Linked DNA regions of Saccharomyces cerevisiae S288C. Changing the gene in region 3 together with the main gene of any one other region gives a genetic interaction. Each region holds a gene or a part of one and is shown on either strand. Other genes may lie near its edges.

Region 1 (7,642 bases), on a different chromosome or scaffold from region 3:
GAATTTGATCATGCCATCGTAAAAACCACGTAGTAAGGAATAAAAAATCCCGAAGTCGATCATACTATGTAGAGATGTACATGAATAGTCTAGGAATCTGGTCTTCCAGCATGTTGCTTTGGTCTGCTTCAAGCGCTATGGAAGCGCTCGCCATGAGATATGCTGTTTCAAGGCAAAATAGCAAAGCTCTTTGTAAAGAAATACAATTCAGAGAAGAAGCTACAGCATTTTGTTTCTGGATGATCCCTGCAGGTTCATACTACTAAGTAAATCTTGAACAGTTCAAATTTCAACAATTCAGAAACCGCTCTTTTTATATATACTCTACCAAACGAGATGAAACAGCATTTTTTTACTCTTATAAGGTACCAATATTTTGACGTATGCTTTCTTTAACGTTCACGATCGGGCTGGGCCATTAAACTTACCTTAGATATTATTTGGAACAGCACCGCAAGTGCTGATGTCCCAGAAATGGGCGCCGGTTCAATTAGGTCGTGAAGTCAGACATATGGAGACTCTCGGACTGAAAGCACTAAGGGATGATAGCTGGCATGCCAATTCCATTTTAAATTTACACATCAAGTTACAGGGTTTGGGAAAATCACGTTCAAAGCCTGAAAATTTGAGGTTGTTCACGGAAATCATTTGGTTATGTCTGTCGGCCTGCTATTTAGAGACATTTTTTATTGCAACAACCTACTCTATGCACTTACACGGAATCGCAGAATAACGCGCGCACAACACAATTGGGAAACGATAGGATTTTGAATAGTGTATTGCTTTGTACCGATTTAAATAATTCTTTCTCGTGTTGAATCCGAGTTGAAGATGAGTATGCTTTGAAGAGGTGAAATATCATCAGTAAAAAAAAATAACGACAACTGCAGGACTCGAACCTGCGCGGGCAAAGCCCAAAAGATTTCTAATCTTTCGCCTTAACCACTCGGCCAAGTTGCCAAAATTGTATGTTATTTGTTGTATCTCAAAATGAGATATGTCAGTATGACAATACGTCACCCTGAACGTTCATAAAACACATATGAAACAACCTTATAACAAAACGAACAACATGAGACAAAACCCGACCTTCCCTAGCTGAACTACCCAAAGTATAAATGCCTGAACAATTAGTTTAGATCCGAGATTCCGCGCTTCCACCACTTAGTATGATTCATATTTTATATAATATATAAGATAAGTAACATTCCGTGAATTAATCTGATAAACTGTTTTGACAACTGGTTACTTCCCTAAGACTGTTTATATTAGGATTGTCAAGACACTCCGGTATTACTCGAGCCCGTAATACAACATTATTTTCAGTGATAAAATATGTAAACCAATTATAAGAAAAAGGATTGCGTTGCATCACAACTGTAAACCATTAATTAAAAAGAGCAATTGCTATTTAGATTTGTTGCTGAGAATTGGCTAAAAAATCTGATAATTGTAGGACTTCTATTATTGCTAGGGGCAATGTGTTGGAATGCAATTCTGTTGGAATAAAAATCCACTATCGTCTATCAACTAATAGTTATATTATCAATATATTATCATATACGGTGTAGAGATGATGGCATAAGGTATGAAAAGCTGTCATCGAAGTTAGAGGAAGCTGAAGTGTAAGGATTGATAATGCAATAGGATAATGAAACATATAAAACGGAATGAGGAATAATCGTAAGATTGGTATATAGAAATATAGACTCCATTATGGGGATTCCTAGACCCTCGAGGAGAACCTTCAAGTATATTCTGTATACCTAATATTATAGCCTTTATCAACAATGGAATCCCAACAATTATCTCAAAATTCCCCCAATTCTCAACATCCGACTGCCATGCAATGTGCTTTTCTGGATCTCACTCATGATCATAATGGCCCTGTAAAAGGCTCGCACTATTATTATTATATCTTCACTATATATTATTTCGGAGGCTGTACCTATCAGTGAAAAAACGCCTCTAAAAATGAAAAAAAAAAAGAATATGAAAGGGGTTCTGAATTGCTAAAATATTTCGTCAAAGCTCAATTAGTATCATGATCAAGTCGTAATTCGAATCAGCATAACAACCTCCAAAACCATATAATAACCTTACACAAGACAAGATATCAATTCAACATGCAAACCCCTTCAGAAAATACCGACGTCAAGTTGGATACTCTCGACGAACCCAGTGCACATTTAATCGAGGAAAATGTGGCTCTTCCAGAGGATACATTCAATTCGTACTGGAGTTATATACTTAATGAAATCGCTCGTTGTAAACCGCTAATGATTATGTTCCTAATACCTGTGTGTTTGGTTTTATTGATTACGTTTTTTCATGATATCAAAGGTATCCTTGTGTTTTTAGTGATTTCTCTTATCCTCTCTATTATCATTTTATTGATCGGTATAACTGCCTTCGTGTCTGAGACCTTGAATAAGGGTTTCATAATTAAGCTTTTAGTAGAAGTCATTACACGTAAACCAGCAGTAGGGGGGAAGGAATGGAGAATAATCGCATATAATATGAACCAGTATCTGTTTGACCATGGGATATGGCATACTCCGTATTACTTTTTTTGTGAACATAGGTGCCATAAATTTTTCAAAAGCCTTATCAAACAGACAAGGTCGAATGCACATTTGAGTTCACCAACGAACGGTGCAGAGAATACGCAGTCAAACACACCAGCAAAAGAGGTTTCAAATGAGATGGTAAAACCTTATATCTTTAGTTCTGATCCAGTTTTAGAAGCTTACCTTATTAAAGCTGCGGAAATTCACAAAGAAGCTGAATTTGAGTATTGGAGAAAGCAATACCCAGAGGTTGATTTGCCTTAGGGCCGAATTTTTGGTATTTATCTAGTATATTCTAATATAAAATGTACGAGCATCATTAACTTCAAGAACATTACGAAGCCCGCAATTAAGTGTCAGTCCATCTGGGTGTAAAAGTTATGTACGCTCGAAACAAATTTTATGTAGTTTACTTTAGATGCAAATGCTATTATATATTTTGCTTTATGATCCTCGGCTTGATGCTCGCCAACGTGAGATAGCTGGTCATCACAATAGATCAGCCGGGACGCTTTTCGATCACATCGAATCCCTTCGGGACGTTGCAACAATACGTGAAAAATGCCTCAAAAATAATAAATACAATGGTGAACAACGTTAAAAAAGCATAAAACAGCTGGCTATTTTGATCAGGATAACATCTATAAGTGCCATATTAAGGCAAGATATCAATTGACCATGCAAACACCTTCAGAAAATACCGACGTAAAGATGGATACTCTCGACGAACCCAGTGCACATTTAATCGAAGAGAATGTAGCTCTTCCCGAAGACACATTCAGTTCACATCTGAGTTATGTACTTTATGAAATTGCTCATTGTAAACCGATCATGTTTATGATCATCATAATCGTGAGTTTGATCTCATTGATTGTGCTTTTTCATGATAACGACGGGTGCACTGTGATCTTAGTGATGTCCCTTATAGTAGCCTCCATGGCTTTAATGGTGGTTGCAGCATTCACATTCGGGAAAGCGATCACTGAACAGGAGTTCATGATAAAGCTTTTAGTGGAGGTGATCGCACGCAAGCCTGCGGGGAAGGAATGGGGTACTGTCGCATATAATATGAACCAATATCTATTCATGAAGAGACTATGGTATACCCCGTACTATTTCTATAGCGGCAAGAAGTGCCATGAGTTCTTCACCACTCTTATCAAGGAAGTGAATTCTGGTTCGCACTCGGATTCCTCATCGAATAGTGCCGAGGATACACAATCACCTGTCTCAGCAGGGAAGACTTCAAATGGTCTAAACAACTTTTATAGTATTAGATCAGACCCTATTTTGATGGCATATGTTTTGAAGGCAACACAAATAGAAAAGGAGGCTCAAAGTGAATACTGGAGAAAGCAATATCCTGACGCTGATTTACCTTGAAGCGGAAGCATTTTATTCACCAAGTATACTTACTTTTCTTTAAAACGAGAACAAGAATCGAATTCAAGAACATCTCGAAGCCAGAATTGAGCATCATATATTCGAGCTGTACAAACATCATGGCCTACAACTATCGTATTTGTAAGTTTTTTTAGAGGTTTTCATATTTGTTTAATAAGGGTTCTGTCAGTTTTTGTCACATTCTATTGTTGCGCTTCGCATAATGCAGCCAAGAAAATCCAAACAATAGAAAAAGAAAAAAAGGATCTCAAAAAGGGTTTGGTGTTGTAGTTATAAGAATAACTAGTGAATAAAAAAGCTGTTGTTTGGTCCGTATTACATTCGTCAAAAATTTAGTACTCAAATCGTGTATGCAATCGCAACCACAAAATAAAAATATTAGACTGGATGTGTTGAGTGGAGATGGTGCCAATTTAGTTGAGGGAAATGTGGTCCTTCCCAAAGACATGTTCAATTCGTACTTAAGTTATTCACTTTACGTGTTACGAGGGGGCTCATTGTAAGCCGATAATGATTATGTTCCTGGCATCTGTAATTTTGATTTCACTGACTAATTTCCGAGTATACCATCTCATGTCCCTTCTATCCTCTTTTTTCATCTCCGGGACAGACCGACAATAAAGCATCTAATATTAGGCTTTCGTTAGAGGTAAGCACACGCCAGCGTTCGGTGAAAGGGGAATGAAACATTATCACGTACAAGATGAATAAATATCTATTTGACCATAAAATATGGAGTACTCCTTACTACTTTTATTGCGAAGAAGATTGCCACCGTCTTTTTCTAAGTTTTATTGAGGGAAGAACTTTCGAGAAGCCAACAAGCAACGCTGAGGAAAATGTACAGGAGACTGAAGCTGGCGAATCTTTCACATTAAATCCCGGAGAAGATTTTCAAAATTGCTTTCCAAGACAGCGGATATTGTAGAACAATCTCAAGTGAAGTATTGGCAAGATATTGGTGCAATTATTTGAAAGGAAGGAGAAATATTCTGACAGTACCTTGCTAGCAAAGGGATTTACCAATCCACTGACGCTAAAATGGGGTAGTAAATTAGATAAATTGCATTCTAACGTGACTTTATATAGTGGGAAACAGATATGTAGCACACAAAACGGCATGATTATGCTTAATTGATTCCTATTTTTTAACGTAAATACTCTCCCAGAACGATCAGAAAACTTAACCCGCAACCATCTTTGCTGTGCTAACAACTTATGTCGCCTCAATACCATTTTTATTTTGTATCATTCCGGAACTTAGTATTGAATGAAAAATGCCTCCGAAGTAAAAAGCAGGTGATGAAAAGTTTCAATTGGTATAAGACAGATCGCTATTTTGATCCGCATAACATCCTTCAACACCATAGCAGAGCTATAGAGAAGACAAGATATAAACTGGGCATGCAAACATCTTCAGAAAGTACCGACGCCAAGTCGGATTTTCTCGACGAACCCAGTGCATATTTAATTGAGAAAAATGTGGCTCTTCCCAAGGACATATTCGGTTCGTACTTAAGTTATTGGATATATGAAGTTACTCGTCATAAAGCGGCAGTAATTTTGCTCGTACTTATTGTGACTTCAATTTTATTATTAGTGTTTTTTTATAATACGGAATTTTGCGTTGCCTTTGAGATACTATTGTTTTCCTTTTGCTTTCCAGGAACATGCATGGTTGTAATTGCATTTAGTGAACCGATCGGTGATCGGGAATTTAAAGTTAAGCTTCTGATGGAAATTATCACACGTAAACCGGCGGTAAAGGGGAAAGAATGGAGGACAATTACATACAAGATGAACCAGTATTTATTTGATCATGGGCTATGGGATACTCCCTACTACTTTTACCGTGATGAAGATTGCCACCGTTATTTTCTAAGTCTTATTAAGGGAAGAACTTTCAAGAAGCAAAAGGAATCGTCAGCCAGCAATGTTAAAGACGCACAATCAAATGACGAAACCGCTGGCACACCAAACGAAGCCGCTGAGTCTTCTAGTTTTAGTGCCGGACCGAACTTTATAAAGCTCCTCACCAAGGCAGCCGAAATCGAACAACAATTTCAAAAGGAATATTGGCGACAAGAGTATCCTGGTGTCGATGAGTTTTTTTAGACAGAAGACGGGAGACACTAGCACACAACTTTACCAGGCAAGGTATTTGACGCTAGCATGTGTCCAATTCAGTGTCATTTATGATTTTTTGTAGTAGGATATAAATATATACAGCGCTCCAAATAGTGCGGTTGCCCCAAAAACACCACGGAACCTCATCTGTTCTCGTACTTTGTTGTGACAAAGTAGCTCACTGCCTTATTATCACATTTTCATTATGCAACGCTTCGGAAAATACGATGTTGAAAATGCCTCTAGAGATGAAAAACAATCGTAAAAGGGTCCTGCGTAATTGAAACATTTGATCAGTATGCAGTGGCACAGAAACAACCAGGAATACTATAGTCATAGGCAATACAAGGTATATATTGGCTATGCAGACCCCTCCAGAAAGTACCGACGTCAAGTTAGATACACTTAACGAACCTAGTGCACATTTAATTGAGAAAAATGTGGCTCTTCCTAAGGACATATTCCGTTCGTACTTGAGTTATTGGATCTATGAAATCGCTCGCTATACACCAGTCATGATTTTGTCCCTGGTAATAGGGGTTTTGGTTTTATTAATTATATTTTTTAATGACAACGAAGCTTGTGTTTTCAATTCTGCAATATTTGCTTTTACTTCTCTTGTAGGTTTGTTAATAATATTAAGTGATGGTAATCCAAAGCTAGTCAGTCGTCGAAATTTTAGGACCGAGCTTTTAGTGGATGTCATCACACGTAAACCGGCGGTAGAAGGGAAAGAATGGAGGATCATCACATACAACATGAACCAATATTTGTTTAATCATGGGCAATGGCATACTCCGTATTACTTTTACAGCGATGAGGATTGCTACCGTTATTTTCTACGCCTTGTTGAGGGAGTAACCCCCAAGAAGCAAACAGCCACGTCAATTGGCAATTCTCCGGTCACCGCTAAGCCTGAAGATGCCATCGAGTCAGCTTCTCCTAGTTCCAGACTGAATTATCAAAACTTTTTGCTCAAGGCAGCGGAGATCGAACGACAAGCTCAGGAAAATTACTGGCGAAGGCGGCATCCCAATATCGATGCGCTTCTTAAAAAGACGGAATAGCTTAGAGACACTACCATACGTAAAGCGAACATAAACTAGAGTATGATATATAATCAGCACTAACTGGCCGGAAAACGGCCGAAGGAAGCCTCGAAAAGTCGATTCGTGTTGGACCCATTTGCTGAACAAAGTGGTTCATTGCCTACCTATTATGGTAGTAGTCGTGATAATCGTGTGGTTGGTTTTGTCAACGGTGCATTTGCATTTTCATGACAATAAACCTTGCGTTTTCGTTCTCGGGATATTACTTTCCCTCCACTTCTTTCGCCTCAATAGCTCCTATAAGCATTCTCAGGGCGTATGTCGGTGATCGAGATTTCCAAGCAAGCTTTTAGTGGAAATCATCGCGCGCAAGCCAGCGGTAAAGGGAAAAGAACGGAGGACGATTACATACAAGATGAACGAATAAATAAATTAATAATAAATAATAATAAAAAGTACAGTAGCATTAAATATTATTAAGTTTAATGATTA
Region 2 (9,353 bases), on a different chromosome or scaffold from region 3:
GATGATAGTAGCAACAAAAATTCCAAATCCACATCCAGTGATTCAAACGATGAAGAGGATGAGTATAACTCAAGGCCATCTTCTAGTCTTTCTTCAAATAACTCTTCTTTGGATGACGTTTGTTTAGTGCTTGATGATGAGGGTAGCGAAGTGCCAAAAGCTTGGCCTGATTGTACTGTTTTGGAAGAATTTTCCAAGGAAGAAACAGAGAGACTAAGAAGTCAAGCTATTCAAGATGCTGAAGCTTTCCACTTCCAATACGATGAAGATGAGGAAGATGGAACATCAAATGAAGATGGAATTCTTTTTTCAAAGCCAATCGTAACTAATATTGATGTCCCTGAATTGGGAAACAGAAGGGTAAACGAAACAGAGAATTTGAAGAACGGCCGTTTAAGGCCAAAAAGAATTGCGCCATGGCATTTGATTCAACGTCCAATGGTCCTTGGGTCCAATTCAACCAAGGACTCAAAATCAAGAATTCAAAGCGGATTACAAGATAACTTACTAGTCGGCAGAAATATTCAATATCCTCCGCATATTATTTCTAATAACCCAGAACATTTCAGGTTCACTTATTTTAGGGTGGATTTGGACTCTACTGTTCATTCTCCGACAATATCTGGTTTACTGCAACCTGGTCAAAAATTTCAAGATTTATTTGTCGCTTCTATATACTCCCAAGATAATAGCGCTGGTCATATCAAGACACATCCAAATTCTCCAACACCTGGTATAAAAGCAGAAACTGTATCTCAACTCCAGGGATTGACAGCTAAAAACCCTTCCACTTTATCGTCTATGTCTGTGGCAAATATAGAGGATGTTCCTCCATTCTGGTTGGATGTCAGCAATCCTACTGAAGAGGAGATGAAAATATTAAGTAAAGCTTTCGGAATTCACCCTTTAACTACAGAAGATATTTTTTTGGGAGAAGTTCGTGAGAAAGTGGAACTATTTAGAGATTATTACCTGATTTGTTTTAGAAGTTTCGATATTGTAGCAGAAAAGCATGTTCGTCGGAGGAGAAAAGAAAAGCAAGAATCTGCTACCTTGGATCATGAAAGTATTTCACGTCGTAAATCACAAGCCTATGGTGCTACTATGTCAAATGAATCAAATGCAAATAACAATAACAGTACAAGCAATGCAAGTAGGAGCAAATGGCTTCCATCGATTTTACGTGCACGCCGTCGGTCATCTGCAAATAGAACAACCAATACATCATCATCAAGCTATAAACGCCGTGTCAAAAGCGAAAAGAAAAAGATGGAAGAGAACGAAAAATTCAAAAGAAAATCAGGAGACAGGCACAAACCACGTGAGGGAGAATTAGAGCCATTGAATGTTTACATTATTGTTTTCAGAACTGGTGTATTGACGTTTCATTTTGCTCCCACACCACATCCTATTAATGTTCGAAGAAGAGCAAGACTACTAAAGGATTACCTTAATGTTACCTCTGATTGGATTGCGTATGCCTTAATCGATGACATTACAGACGCATTTGCCCCTATGATAGAACTTATCGAAGATGAAGTTTATGAGATTGAGGACGCCATTTTGAAGATGCATCAGTCAGATGATTCTAGTGATAGCGATTCTAGCGATAGTGATTCCGATTCGGGCGCTAGCGATGAGGATGCATTTCCGTTCGATGTCTATTCTAAAAAGACGTCCTACTCTAGTGCAAAATCTAGTGTGAGTTCAAGAAGTATGAGCACTTCTGAAGCGTCATTCAATGCAAATTTGATAGGTTGGAAGAGAAAAGGAGATATGTTGAGGCGGATTGGTGAATGCCGTAAAAGAGTGATGAGTATACTAAGATTGCTAGGATCCAAGGCTGATGTGATAAAAGGATTTGCCAAAAGGTATAATGAGCAATGGGAAGCTTCGCCACAATCTGAAATCGCAATGTATTTGGGTGATATTCAAGATCATATTGTAACCATGGTCTCATCGCTAAACCATTATGAAAAACTGTTAAGTAGATCGCATTCAAATTATCTGGCACAAATCAACATTGATATGACGAAGGTTAATAATGACATGAACGACGTTTTGGGAAAAATTACCATACTGGGTACTATTGTTCTGCCAATGAATGTGATTACGGGTCTGTGGGGTATGAATGTTATCGTGCCCGGACAATACAGGGATTCGTTGACATGGTTTATAGGCATTGTGCTTTTTATGTGTATGCTAGCATGTTCTGCATATATGTATACTAAGAGAAGATTCGGGTTTTAATTTAAGTGTTTTTTCGCGCATTAGCGCTTGCTTTTCCTTCGATTTTAATTATCAGCCTAAATTATTGTTGTCTTTCCCGAAGGATAGAATTGTAAATTATCAGCGCCGTATCGTATACTTGTGGTGATAAATATCTTTAATCTATTTATGTTTTTTTTTTTTTTTTTTTTCGTGTCTGGTTTCTACATGTTTGTGAACGTTCTGCATATCTTTATGTACGTACACAGTATGTTAGTATGCACTTATACTATACAAAGAATAAGGGAGGTGAGGTTAATCAATAAGGTTAACGTAAAACATTTATTATTTTCATCACCAAACTGTTGGAAGTTTTGAATTGGTTAATTATCAAGGATTTCATTGTTAGCCAAATTTTCCTTGGCGAGATCTTGTTTCTCTTTCTGGAGTTGCTGTTTTTGTTCTTTTTTGTCCTTGTTTATTTGTTTTTGCTTTTCTGAATCAATTTGTGGTTTCAAATCGTTCTCCAAATTCTTTACTTCTTGTTGCTTTGCGACTTCATTATTGAACTTTTCTTTAGGTACTTTAGCTTGTTGTGGTTGCTTATTGTTAGTCGCATCAGCTGCACCGCCGGCTGCAATATTGGTATGATCGCTTGCACTTGCAGAAACATCAGAAGAATGGCTTTCTAGCTTGATCTCAGTTTCTTTATTCAGATCAGAATAGGCAACTTTTATAACGAAATAAACGCCACATAACAGTATAATGTATACTATAATCTTTTTCATAGGGGTAGTCAGATAACCGCCCCTTCTTCTGGAATTATATTTGCTTCCTGTTTTATAACGAGGTAAAAGATCTTTTTTCCTTCTGATATCGCCCTGCATATTTTCTATAATTATGAATCACTTTAGTTTGATTTATATTTGCTCAGAATACCCTAGCTTTATCTATATAGTACTACTACTTTGGAGGGGAGGAACGTATGTTGGAAGGCAATAGCACTCTGGTAAAGTGCTAACTCTTAATGTTAATGACGAAATCACTTTTTTTGCCTTTCTGAAAGATTGGAAGACTGTCACTGAGAAATTCGCTATTCTTTTCTTTTTCTTCGTGTTTTTTTTTGTTAGAATACTGCACAGCTTGCTATCCCGCTGCACAGCTTGCTATCCCGCTGCACAACATGAAATTGCTCACGTCGTGCCAAATTACATATAGGTGCTTACCCTGTTTATATTTTTTGCCTTCATAGCGGAGTTTTTAAGGGTAGCCCTTATGTTTTTAGCGTTCATTTGAACGAATGGCTAACGCTAAACGGAGAAGAGAGGAAAACAAGGCCGCTGGCGTTATTGCGCGTAAAAACAGGAGATAAGCACTGTTTAACATACATTTCATTGAAAGCTTAAAGCCGCAAAAGATGAAGGGTTTTCAAAATTTTCATCTCTTGCAGTATAAGGATGCAGTGAATCTATCTACAGACAGTTGATAAAAACGTCTACCTTGCCTAGTGTACCCAGCTGCTGTCAACTTCTTTCCTTAGCGCGTAAAGAGCTATGTTTTCGATAAAAGATGCAACATAAATGCTACGATGTAAGGCACCCAGGACCTCTGAAGGCAAAGAAGTTGTGAAATTTGAAAAATAATCGCTCAAAAAGGAATAATTGTCAAGCGTAACGATTTTTTTGATTTTCCGAAATCAGGGGAGGGGAAAAGAAAAGGGGAAGGGGTCTCCTCACAGGTATTGTGAGCTCCAAGCAATCATTTTGCCAGCACTAGGAAATAATAAAATGAAAGAAAAAAACATACATAGAAAGTGCCGCTCCGGGGCATTTTGAGCGCGGCAAAAAAAGCCCGAAGATCCGTTCCTCGAAGGAACGGCAACCGCACACCAAGAAAAAGGGAAAAAGGTGGGGTTGGCTGTAAAGTACGAGCGCGGGGACGGATCCGTAACAATTTCTATGTGGGGCCAGCAGCCGGCTGCTGGTGGGTACTGTTGTACGAAGCGGTTGGTAGCGATGACAGTGGCCAGGGCTGCTAGGCATGGTGCCGTGAAAACCCAGCGCAAATGTCAGGCTGCAGGAACCGGCTTTCTCCCACGAGGTTTCACTGCTGGCGGCGTACTGGTCATTTTTAGAACCTGAAAACCCGAGCTAGAACTAGGACTCTTGAGCAATAAGGTTTGCGCATTGCTATTCTCCGGATAAACCAAACCCACCCTTTTAAGAGCGTTTAACAAAGGTCTCTTATCTATCAAAAGTATTATGGCTATTTCTGGGATTCCGCTTGCGGGCCTTTCTACCCTCTTGATGCTACACATGTTTCCCTTAGATGCATGAGCATACCTGTAGGTACTTAAATTTTATTTTTATGCATCTTATTTCTGTCTAAATTTGTATATAACAAGCAACTGCAGTTCTGTGATGTGTTTTTCGCAACTGGTCAACAGGCTTAAGAATTTTTCCGTCTCTTTCCGTTTTATTTCCAGAGAATTAACATTTATAGAGAAAAGAATTAAAACGTGAAATTTCCTTTTTGAATATTTAACGCCTTTATCAGTTCGGCTTTTTTTTCTTTTCTTCTTATTAAAAACAATATAATGCTAGTCTTCGGACCTAATAGTAGTTTCGTTCGTCACGCAAACAAGAAACAAGAAGATTCGTCTATAATGAACGAGCCAAACGGATTGATGGACCCGGTATTGAGCACAACCAACGTTTCTGCTACTTCTTCTAATGACAATTCTGCGAACAATAGCATATCTTCGCCGGAATATACCTTTGGTCAATTCTCAATGGATTCTCCGCATAGAACGGACGCCACTAATACTCCAATTTTAACAGCGACAACTAATACGACTGCTAATAATAGTTTAATGAATTTAAAGGATACCGCCAGTTTAGCTACCAACTGGAAGTGGAAAAATTCCAATAACGCACAGTTCGTGAATGACGGTGAGAAACAAAGCAGTAATGCTAATGGTAAGAAAAATGGTGGTGATAAGATATATAGTTCAGTAGCCACCCCTCAAGCTTTAAATGACGAATTGAAAAACTTGGAGCAACTAGAAAAGGTATTTTCTCCAATGAATCCTATCAATGACAGTCATTTTAATGAAAATATAGAATTATCGCCACACCAACATGCAACTTCTCCCAAGACAAACCTTCTTGAGGCAGAACCTTCAATATATTCCAATTTGTTTCTAGATGCTAGGTTACCAAACAACGCCAACAGTACAACAGGATTGAACGACAATGATTATAATCTAGACGATACCAATAATGATAATACTAATAGCATGCAATCAATCTTAGAGGATTTTGTATCTTCAGAAGAAGCATTGAAGTTCATGCCGGACGCTGGTCGCGACGCAAGAAGATACAGCGAGGTGGTTACCTCTTCCTTTCCTTCTATGACGGATTCTAGAAATTCGATCTCTCATTCGATAGAGTTTTGGAATCTCAATCACAAAAATAGTAGCAACAGTAAACCCACTCAACAAATTATCCCTGAAGGTACTGCCACTACTGAGAGGCGTGGATCAACCATTTCACCTACTACCACTATAAACAACTCTAATCCAAACTTCAAATTATTAGATCATGACGTTTCTCAAGCTCTGAGCGGTTATAGTATGGATTTTTCTAAGGACTCTGGTATAACAAAGCCAAAAAGCATTTCCTCTTCTTTAAATCGCATCTCCCATAGCAGTAGCACCACAAGGCAACAGCGTGCCTCTTTGCCCTTAATTCATGATATTGAATCTTTTGCAAATGATTCGGTGATGGCAAATCCTCTGTCTGATTCCGCATCATTTCTTTCAGAAGAAAATGAAGACGATGCTTTTGGTGCGCTAAATTACAATAGCTTAGATGCAACCACAATGTCGGCATTCGACAATAACGTAGACCCCTTCAACATTCTCAAGTCATCTCCGGCTCAGGATCAACAGTTTATCAAACCCTCTATGATGTTGTCGGATAATGCCTCTGCTGCCGCTAAATTGGCGACTTCTGGTGTTGATAATATCACACCTACACCAGCTTTCCAAAGAAGAAGCTATGATATCTCGATGAACTCTTCGTTCAAAATACTTCCTACTAGTCAAGCTCACCATGCAGCTCAACATCATCAACAACAACCTACTAAACAGGCAACGGTAAGCCCAAACACAAGAAGAAGAAAGTCGTCAAGTGTTACTTTAAGTCCAACTATTTCTCATAACAACAACAATGGTAAGGTTCCTGTCCAACCTCGGAAAAGGAAATCTATTACTACCATTGACCCCAACAACTACGATAAAAATAAACCTTTCAAGTGTAAAGACTGTGAGAAGGCATTCAGACGCAGTGAGCACTTGAAAAGGCATATAAGATCCGTTCATTCAACGGAACGCCCTTTTGCTTGTATGTTCTGTGAGAAAAAATTCAGTAGAAGTGACAATTTATCACAACATCTAAAAACTCACAAAAAGCACGGTGATTTTTGAAAAAAATAAGGTCAAAAGCAAATAAAAGCAAGACAAGCTACGGTATGACAAGTTTTCGGAGAAATAATATTCTTTCTTCCTCAGTTTACAAAACAAGTAGGTTGGTCATTTCATTCGGATATATTCTAAGGAATGAAATGAACATTGGTGTTTGTTTCTAATATAATCTTAAGATATTTTAAATTGTTTCTTTCCTTTTTTGCCTTTCTAACTATTACTTCAACTTCTTTTCCGTATATTTCCGTTTTTTCCATTTGGCAGATTAAAAAAATTGTGCACGTTCTGGTTTTAACGTATAGACTTCTAATATATTTCTCCATACTTGGTATTTTTTATTCACTTTTTTTATACATATTTGGTTTTTTTATACAATATCAAAAATCAATAATAATTAATTTAATAACAAGAATATGTTGCTGTGATGACTCTTAATATACAATTGGGAAGCATTCAAGGATTGGTACGACGTTTGCTTTCTGATAATTAAACGCTTGGCGTTTAATCTTTTTTGCCGATTAATAATATTATTATTACCCTCTTATTTATTAGCATTGTCTTCCGTACTAAAAGGAGTAGGGAAAAAGGCGAAGTAGAGTGACACGTCCATTACCCAGCGCTTCATAAGAATCCATCAGGTATATTAAATTGTGATGGGAGAACAAAACAAATTGTACTATGATGTCGAGAAATTGGTGAATTCTTTGCAGGAAAGTTTTGACCTGGATTGCGCGCAAAGTGTATCACTTTTCACCAGTAAATCAAGGAGCAATGAGGCTTGGTTGGAAGAGCTAGAGAATAAATTCAAGTTAAAAGATGATGTTGAACTTGATGATGTGGAAAATTTAAGAGCCGAAATTGACATGAAGTTAAATATGTTGGAGGATAAAGTAAGCTACTATGAAAGACTTTACAAAGAACTCGAAGAGTTCCAGAATGAAATAAAAATTAAAACAGTTGTGAATAACAGAAGACAATCGCGAACTCCAAAATGAGCTATCAAAAACGATAGATCGATTAGGATGACTTTGAAATGACTCCGCAGTGGACTGGCCGTTAATTTCAAGCGTGAGTAAAATAGTGCATGACAAAAGATGAGCTAGGCTTTTGTAAAAATATCTTACGTTGTAAAATTTTAGAAATCATTATTTCCTTCATATCATTTTGTCATTGACCTTCAGAAGAAAAGAGCCGACCAATAATATAAATAAATAAATAAAAATAATATTCCATTATTTCTAAACAGATTCAATACTCATTAAAAAACTATATCAATTAATTTGAATTAACTTATAAAGTGTTAGTGGTACGGAAAGTTTCCAAAGACTTGGTGATCTTAGCACCCATGGTCTTTTCACCTTCTCTAACCCAGACTCTTGGGTCGAAGAACTTCTTGTTTGGCTTTTCTGGACCTTCTGGGTTACCGACTGGGGACATTATGTAGTCCTTCTTGTTCAAGACGTAGTCTCTGATACCAGTCAAGTAAGCGTATTGACAGTCAGTGTCCAAGTTGACCTTGACAACACCGTTGTCAATACCAGTGTGGAATTCTTGGACAGTAGAACCGGAACCACCGTGGAAGACCAAGAACAATGGCTTTTCTTCCTTGCAACCAACTTGTTCTCTGGTGTACTTTTGGTGTTCAGCCAAGATTTCTGGTCTCAAAGCGATGTCACCAGCGTACAAACCGTGACAGTTACCGAAAGCAGCAGCAATGGAGAAGTTTGGAGAGATTGGGTGCAAAGCCTTGTAGACGTTGTAAACTTGTTCTGGCTTGGTGTACAAGTCTTCCTTGTCAGCGTTTTCGTTGTTAACACCATCTTCTTCACCACCGGTAATACCGATTTCCATTTCTAACCATTGGTCCATAGCGGCCATTCTCTTGAAGTACTTGACACAAGTAGAGATGTTTTCTTCATCGGTTTCTTCAGACAAATCCAACATGTGGGAGGAGAATAATGGTTCACCGTGTTCCTTGAAGTAAGCTTCATCAGCTTCCAACATACCATCGAACCATGGCAACAACTTCTTGGCACAGTGGTCAGAGTGTAAGACAACTGGGATACCGTAAGCTGGAGCAATGGATCTGATGTAGTGGGCAGCGGCAATAGCACCCTTGATGGAAGCATTTTGACCTTCGTTAGAGATACCCTTACCAGCGAAGTAAGCAGCACCACCGTTAGAGGTTTGCAAAATGATTGGGGACTTGCTGTCTCTAGCAGCTTCTAAAGCAGCGACGGCAGTAGAAGAAGAGGTGACGTTAATAGCTGGAATAGCGAACTTGTGTTCCTTAGCGTAAGTGAATAAGTTGTGGACATCTTCACCAACGATGACACCGGTCTTTCTCTTTAAGATTTGTTCAACACCCATTTTGAATATGTATTACTTGGTTATGGTTATATATGACAAAAGAAAAAGAAGAACAGAAGAATAACGCAAGGAAGAACAATAACTGAAATTGATAGAGAAGTATTATGTCTTTGTCTTTTTATAATAAATCAAGTGCAGAAATCCGTTAGACAACATGAGGGATAAAATTTAACGTGGGCGAAGAAGAAGGAAAAAAGTTTTTGTGAGGGCGTAATTGAAGCGATCTGTTGATTGTAGATTTTTTTTTTTTGAGGAGTCAAAGTCAGAAGAGAACAGACAAATGGTATTA
Region 3 (4,840 bases):
CGTTACGCTCCATTACACAAAAGCTCTCCAAAGGGTCTGTTAAAAATGACATACGGAGTATATCTACAGGAAAGTATAGAGTCCACACATACTGTACAGCTTCAGGGCTATGGTTTGTTCTATTGTCCGACTTTAAACAGCAGTCTTACACTCAGGTTTTACAGTATATTTACAGCCATATTTATGTCAAATACGTGAGCAACAACTTATTATCACCGTACGATTTCGCTGAAAACGAAAATGAAATGAGAGGTCAAGGGACAAGAAAGATCACCAATAGAAACTTTATATCCGTTCTCGAGTCATTTCTAGCACCAATGGTTAATCAGTGAGCACGAACCATGAGCAGAAGAAAAACCTAAAATAAATAGAAGCGATGAATTGAATTGCATTCATCGTATATATACCTAAGGATAAATTAATTAGTTTTACATATTTTAAACTTTGTTTGTTAATACAAACTCGGATCTGGTTTGGGTCATAATTTTTGTTGTGGGGGCTCAAATATCATTCATGAAAAGGTCTGTCCAAAACTCGTCATTTAATGAATTAACGCCCCATGCTAAGGAGTTTATATCCGTCAAATAATCGTTCAAGTTGTCTACCGATGAACTAGGTGATGGTTTTATATTAGTTGAGTCAGCAGAGTTAGTCACATCATTAGAAATAAATGGTGGTGGTAATAGAGTTGTGCCTGTCATACTCTCTCGGTGTTCATGTGGGGATTCATTCATATATGAAGTACTGTTAATATTCAGGTTCATTGCGGCAGTATCGTCACGAACTCTTGAGTATACTGGCAGCATTTCATCAGGTACAGCGGTTATGTTTTGGTTTGTATTATTGTCGATAATTGGATCTTCTTCTGTTGGCATCTTTTGTGACTCGGTTACATATGCATTTATTGGCTTCGTACCATCGTGGCCATTGCTTACTTCGTCTATGACCTGCTTTTCCTTTAGTTTCTCCCTTTCTGCATTGTAGCGATCAGCAACATCAATAACTTTGTTTGCGTAGGTTTGACAAAATAACGCAATAACATACCTAAATTTGTAAAGAGAGTTGTTGAAGGGATACAGCTCTGATGTTTTTTCTAAAAGATTGTTTACCCCTATTACCAAGGCAATAGCATCATCTGTAAGGGGCATTAAATCGTGAAACGAAGGAATAGCGACTACGGAATAGCGCAGCTTTAATAAGAGCATACCAACGGTATATATGATCCTGGAAGTATGAAATAAAGGTAATGAGGTAATTAAAATTGGCTCCAACTTGGAAAATTCCTCAAGGGCAGATTTACAGCAATGATAGCATTTAACAAAATCATCCATTATTTCTCTGGGCAATTCGACTTTTTCGTTTATGGTATGCGACATTTCCCCGATGAATACTGCAAGTTTATACTGGTATAAATAAGCTTCTACAGAGTAATAAAATGCAATCACTCTTGGCCTGTTTCTGTCAAGTTTAGTGAAAATCTCTTGCAATTGCTTGTGGTATTTTTCCATTAGTTTATTAAGATACTTTTTAGTAAAAATAGGATCATCAAACTCGTCATCATTTAGATCTCTCTCATGTAGGTGTGTGTGAATATTTTCCAAGACGTGGTTCATTTTAGCAAATTGAACCAAGATGGGATCATCAGCTGAATCAAGTAATAGTTTATCGTTGTCATAATGTCGCGATTTTTTCGTCTCTTTAACTAAATCCTCGCAGGCCTTTTCCGTGACGTGACTCCAACGAGCTTGTATTGATTGACGTAGAAAAATTGAAATATTGAGTGCGGAAATGTATACCAATAAAGTTAAACTGGCGCCATTACTGTAAAGTTCCAAAGGTGACTTGAATCTCTTTGGATCCTCGTCACTAAACATACCAAAGGATCGATTGACATAGGTAGGCCCCAAATCTCTAGTTAAACAGCAACAGATGTAATTAAATATATGGTATCTCGTTTTACTTGACCATTCAAAAAAATTATACCATAGACATAATGTAGACAGTGATTCGATGATTTCGATAGATTTATTATTAGCCTTGAAAATCTGATTTGTAATTAAGTTTAGTACAAAACTATCAAGCTTCATAATAGTTCCTCTGGTGGTTTGTTTGGGTGTTAGTACAATTGAAACACATGACATAATGACGGAGAATAAAATAGGTTTCTTCTTTCTTAATTCATCGACACTAACATTCTCTTCGACCTTTATGAATGGTAATTTTGACAAATATGAAATCTCGGTTTTATAAAGATGTAAGCGAAGCGTCGCTTCTTCATGAGATATGATTCCTACTGATACAGGATCTGCAATGGTTGGCAAAAACATGCTCTTTTCAACAAGGTCATTCCACTGCTTTGACCAAGTGTCAAGCTTCATCGAAATATCTCTAATTTTACCTTTTTGAGAAATAATCAGTGATTGTAGCTGCTTCCTGAACGACCGTGTCATATGTCTAGAGTATGATTTCTTTTGTCTTTTCACTTTGACGTTCTGTGTTTCCTCATCACCCACAATTTTAGGCCTATGTTTGAACAGTGCCTCGCTGTTAATGCTGGTAGGCGCAGATGAAATCGGTACGGGGGAGTTGTAGGTACTGTATATAACTGGCGCATCACTAATATTAGTATGCTCATCGTTAGATGCTAAAACTGCTGGATTTGTGGGCACACTGCCATTGGATTTTGTATGATTATTGGTGGTTATCTCTCCGGTAGATGTGGTTTCGGCCTCTCTTGCTCCATATGAGGGTGGTTGGCTTAAAGTTGACCAAAGATCGGATAAACTTTGTTGAAGTCCAGGTAAGACTGTCCGAGAGTTTGGAAATTGTTTAGCGTTTGGGTCAGAAGGGAAACTGGCGAGGTAAGATGTACCATCCTTCAAGCTAGATTCTTCAGAATCTGTTGGGCCTTTGCTTTTAGTAGAGACATTCACCATCGGCGATTCAAAAGGTGTGGGTGACCTTGATCTAGGCTTTCTCTTCCTTGTCCTTTTTGAAAGATCAAACTTGCACAGCTTCTTGTGTTTCAGACACCTTCGACAAGGTTTCCTATAAATATCGTTAACATCAGAAGGCTCACATTTTTGCTTCAAGGAATGGCAGCATACACAAGCAAATGAGTTTCTTTTGGTCTTCCCCTTTTCAGTAGTCTCTAGTTTTGTAGGATACGAAAGCCTAGGGTCATCTTTGGAGCATCCTTCTATAATAGTTTGTGTGGCCTTATCTATGCATGGGACATCCGCCTTCGGCAAAGAAACTTTTTGGTCGGTCTTTGAATTATCATTATTGATTTCTTTCCCGACGGCAACGCCAGTTATTGCAATCTGCGTGTCCATGTTGTAATTCAACCCTGAAGATCTTCCCGATCACAGTCAATACACACTAGATATTAATGTATACTGTATGAAAAAATTGACTTTCCGCTTCATTGCTCCTACATTTATCGGATGGCGCACATAGCTAAAAAAGGAAGATTTTCACTCATAAGGGAAAGGAACCGCATGACTCAAGAGAAGCATGTGGTTTTTGAGTTTTTTTCGTTGAATTTTCAGGTAAAGCTCAATAGTTATGACAATTACAACAACAGAATTCTTTCTATATATGCACGAACTTGTAATATGGAAGAAATTATGACGTACAAACTATAAAGTAAATATTTTACGTAACACATGGTGCTGTTGTGCTTCTTTTTCAAGAGAATACCAATGACGTATGACTAAGTTTAGGATTTAATGCAGGTGACGGACCCATCTTTCAAACGATTTATATCAGTGGCGTCCAAATTGTTAGGTTTTGTTGGTTCAGCAGGTTTCCTGTTGTGGGTCATATGACTTTGAACCAAATGGCCGGCTGCTAGGGCAGCACATAAGGATAATTCACCTGCCAAGACGGCACAGGCAACTATTCTTGCTAATTGACGTGCGTTGGTACCAGGAGCGGTAGCATGCGGGCCTCTTACACCTAATAAGTCCAACATGGCACCTTGTGGTTCTAGAACAGTACCACCACCGATGGTACCTACTTCGATGGATGGCATGGATACGGAAATTCTCAAATCACCGTCCACTTCTTTCATCAATGTTATACAGTTGGAACTTTCAACATTTTGTGCAGGATCTTGTCCTAATGCCAAGAAAACAGCTGTCACTAAATTAGCTGCATGTGCGTTAAATCCACCAACAGACCCAGCCATTGCAGATCCAACCAAATTCTTAGCAATGTTCAACTCAACCAATGCGGAAACATCACTTTTTAACACTTTTCTGACAACATCACCAGGAATAGTAGCTTCTGCGACGACACTCTTACCACGACCTTCGATCCAGTTGATGGCAGCTGGTTTTTTGTCGGTACAGTAGTTACCAGAAACGGAGACAACCTCCATATCTTCCCAGCCATACTCTTCTACCATTTGCTTTAATGAGTATTCGACACCTTTAGAAATCATATTCATACCCATTGCGTCACCAGTAGTTGTTCTAAATCTCATGAAGAGTAAATCTCCTGCTAGACAAGTTTGAATATGTTGCAGACGTGCAAATCTTGATGTAGAGTTAAAAGCTTTTTTAATTGCGTTTTGTCCCTCTTCTGAGTCTAACCATATCTTACAGGCACCAGATCTTTTCAAAGTTGGGAAACGGACTACTGGGCCTCTTGTCATACCATCCTTAGTTAAAACAGTTGTTGCACCACCGCCAGCATTGATTGCCTTACAGCCACGCATGGCAGAAGCTACCAAACAACCCTCTGTAGTTGCCATTGGTATATGATAAGATGTACCATCGATAACCAAGGGGCCTATAACACCAACGGGCAAAGGCATGTAACCTATAACATTTTC

Evidence for each region.
Region 1: mutations in WAR1 (region 3) and DFP2 together harm fitness more than expected from each alone (negative genetic interaction), as found in Saccharomyces cerevisiae (2 studies listed by BioGRID).
Region 2: mutations in WAR1 (region 3) and MSN4 are lethal when combined (synthetic lethality), as found in Saccharomyces cerevisiae (one study listed by BioGRID).

What each region holds. Positions count from the first base shown.
Region 1 is NC_001133.9:181,644-189,285, forward strand, and holds DFP2 (DUP240 family protein), read left to right. Parts: upstream 1-4,677; coding exon 4,678-4,902; downstream 4,903-7,642. Other genes in the region: DUP240 family protein UIP3, read left to right, coding at 2,127-2,834; KTD1 (DUP240 family protein), read left to right, coding at 3,249-3,953; pheromone-regulated DUP240 family protein PRM9, read left to right, coding at 5,193-6,089; DUP240 family protein MST28, read left to right, coding at 6,464-7,168.
Region 2 is NC_001143.9:318,424-327,776, forward strand, and holds MSN4 (stress-responsive transcriptional activator MSN4), read left to right. Parts: upstream 1-4,804; coding exon 4,805-6,697; downstream 6,698-9,353. Other genes in the region: putative Mg(2+) transporter MNR2, read left to right, coding at 1-2,250; YKL063C (uncharacterized protein), read right to left, coding at 2,592-3,095; BLI1 (Bli1p), read left to right, coding at 7,348-7,689; fructose-bisphosphate aldolase FBA1, read right to left, coding at 7,985-9,064. UniProt on the Saccharomyces cerevisiae protein: Positive transcriptional factor that acts as a component of the stress responsive system. Recognizes and binds to the stress response element (STRE) which is involved in the response to various forms of stress (heat, oxidative, osmotic, etc.).
Region 3 is NC_001145.3:112,013-116,852, forward strand, and holds WAR1 (War1p), read right to left. Parts: upstream 3,336-4,840; coding exon 501-3,335; downstream 1-500. Other genes in the region: TRAPP subunit BET5, read left to right, coding at 1-332; hydroxymethylglutaryl-CoA reductase (NADPH) HMG1, read right to left, coding at 3,722-4,840. UniProt on the Saccharomyces cerevisiae protein: transcription factor which binds to a weak acid response element (WARE) to mediate stress induction of PDR12 and FUN34, encoding an acid transporter and a putative ammonia transporter, respectively.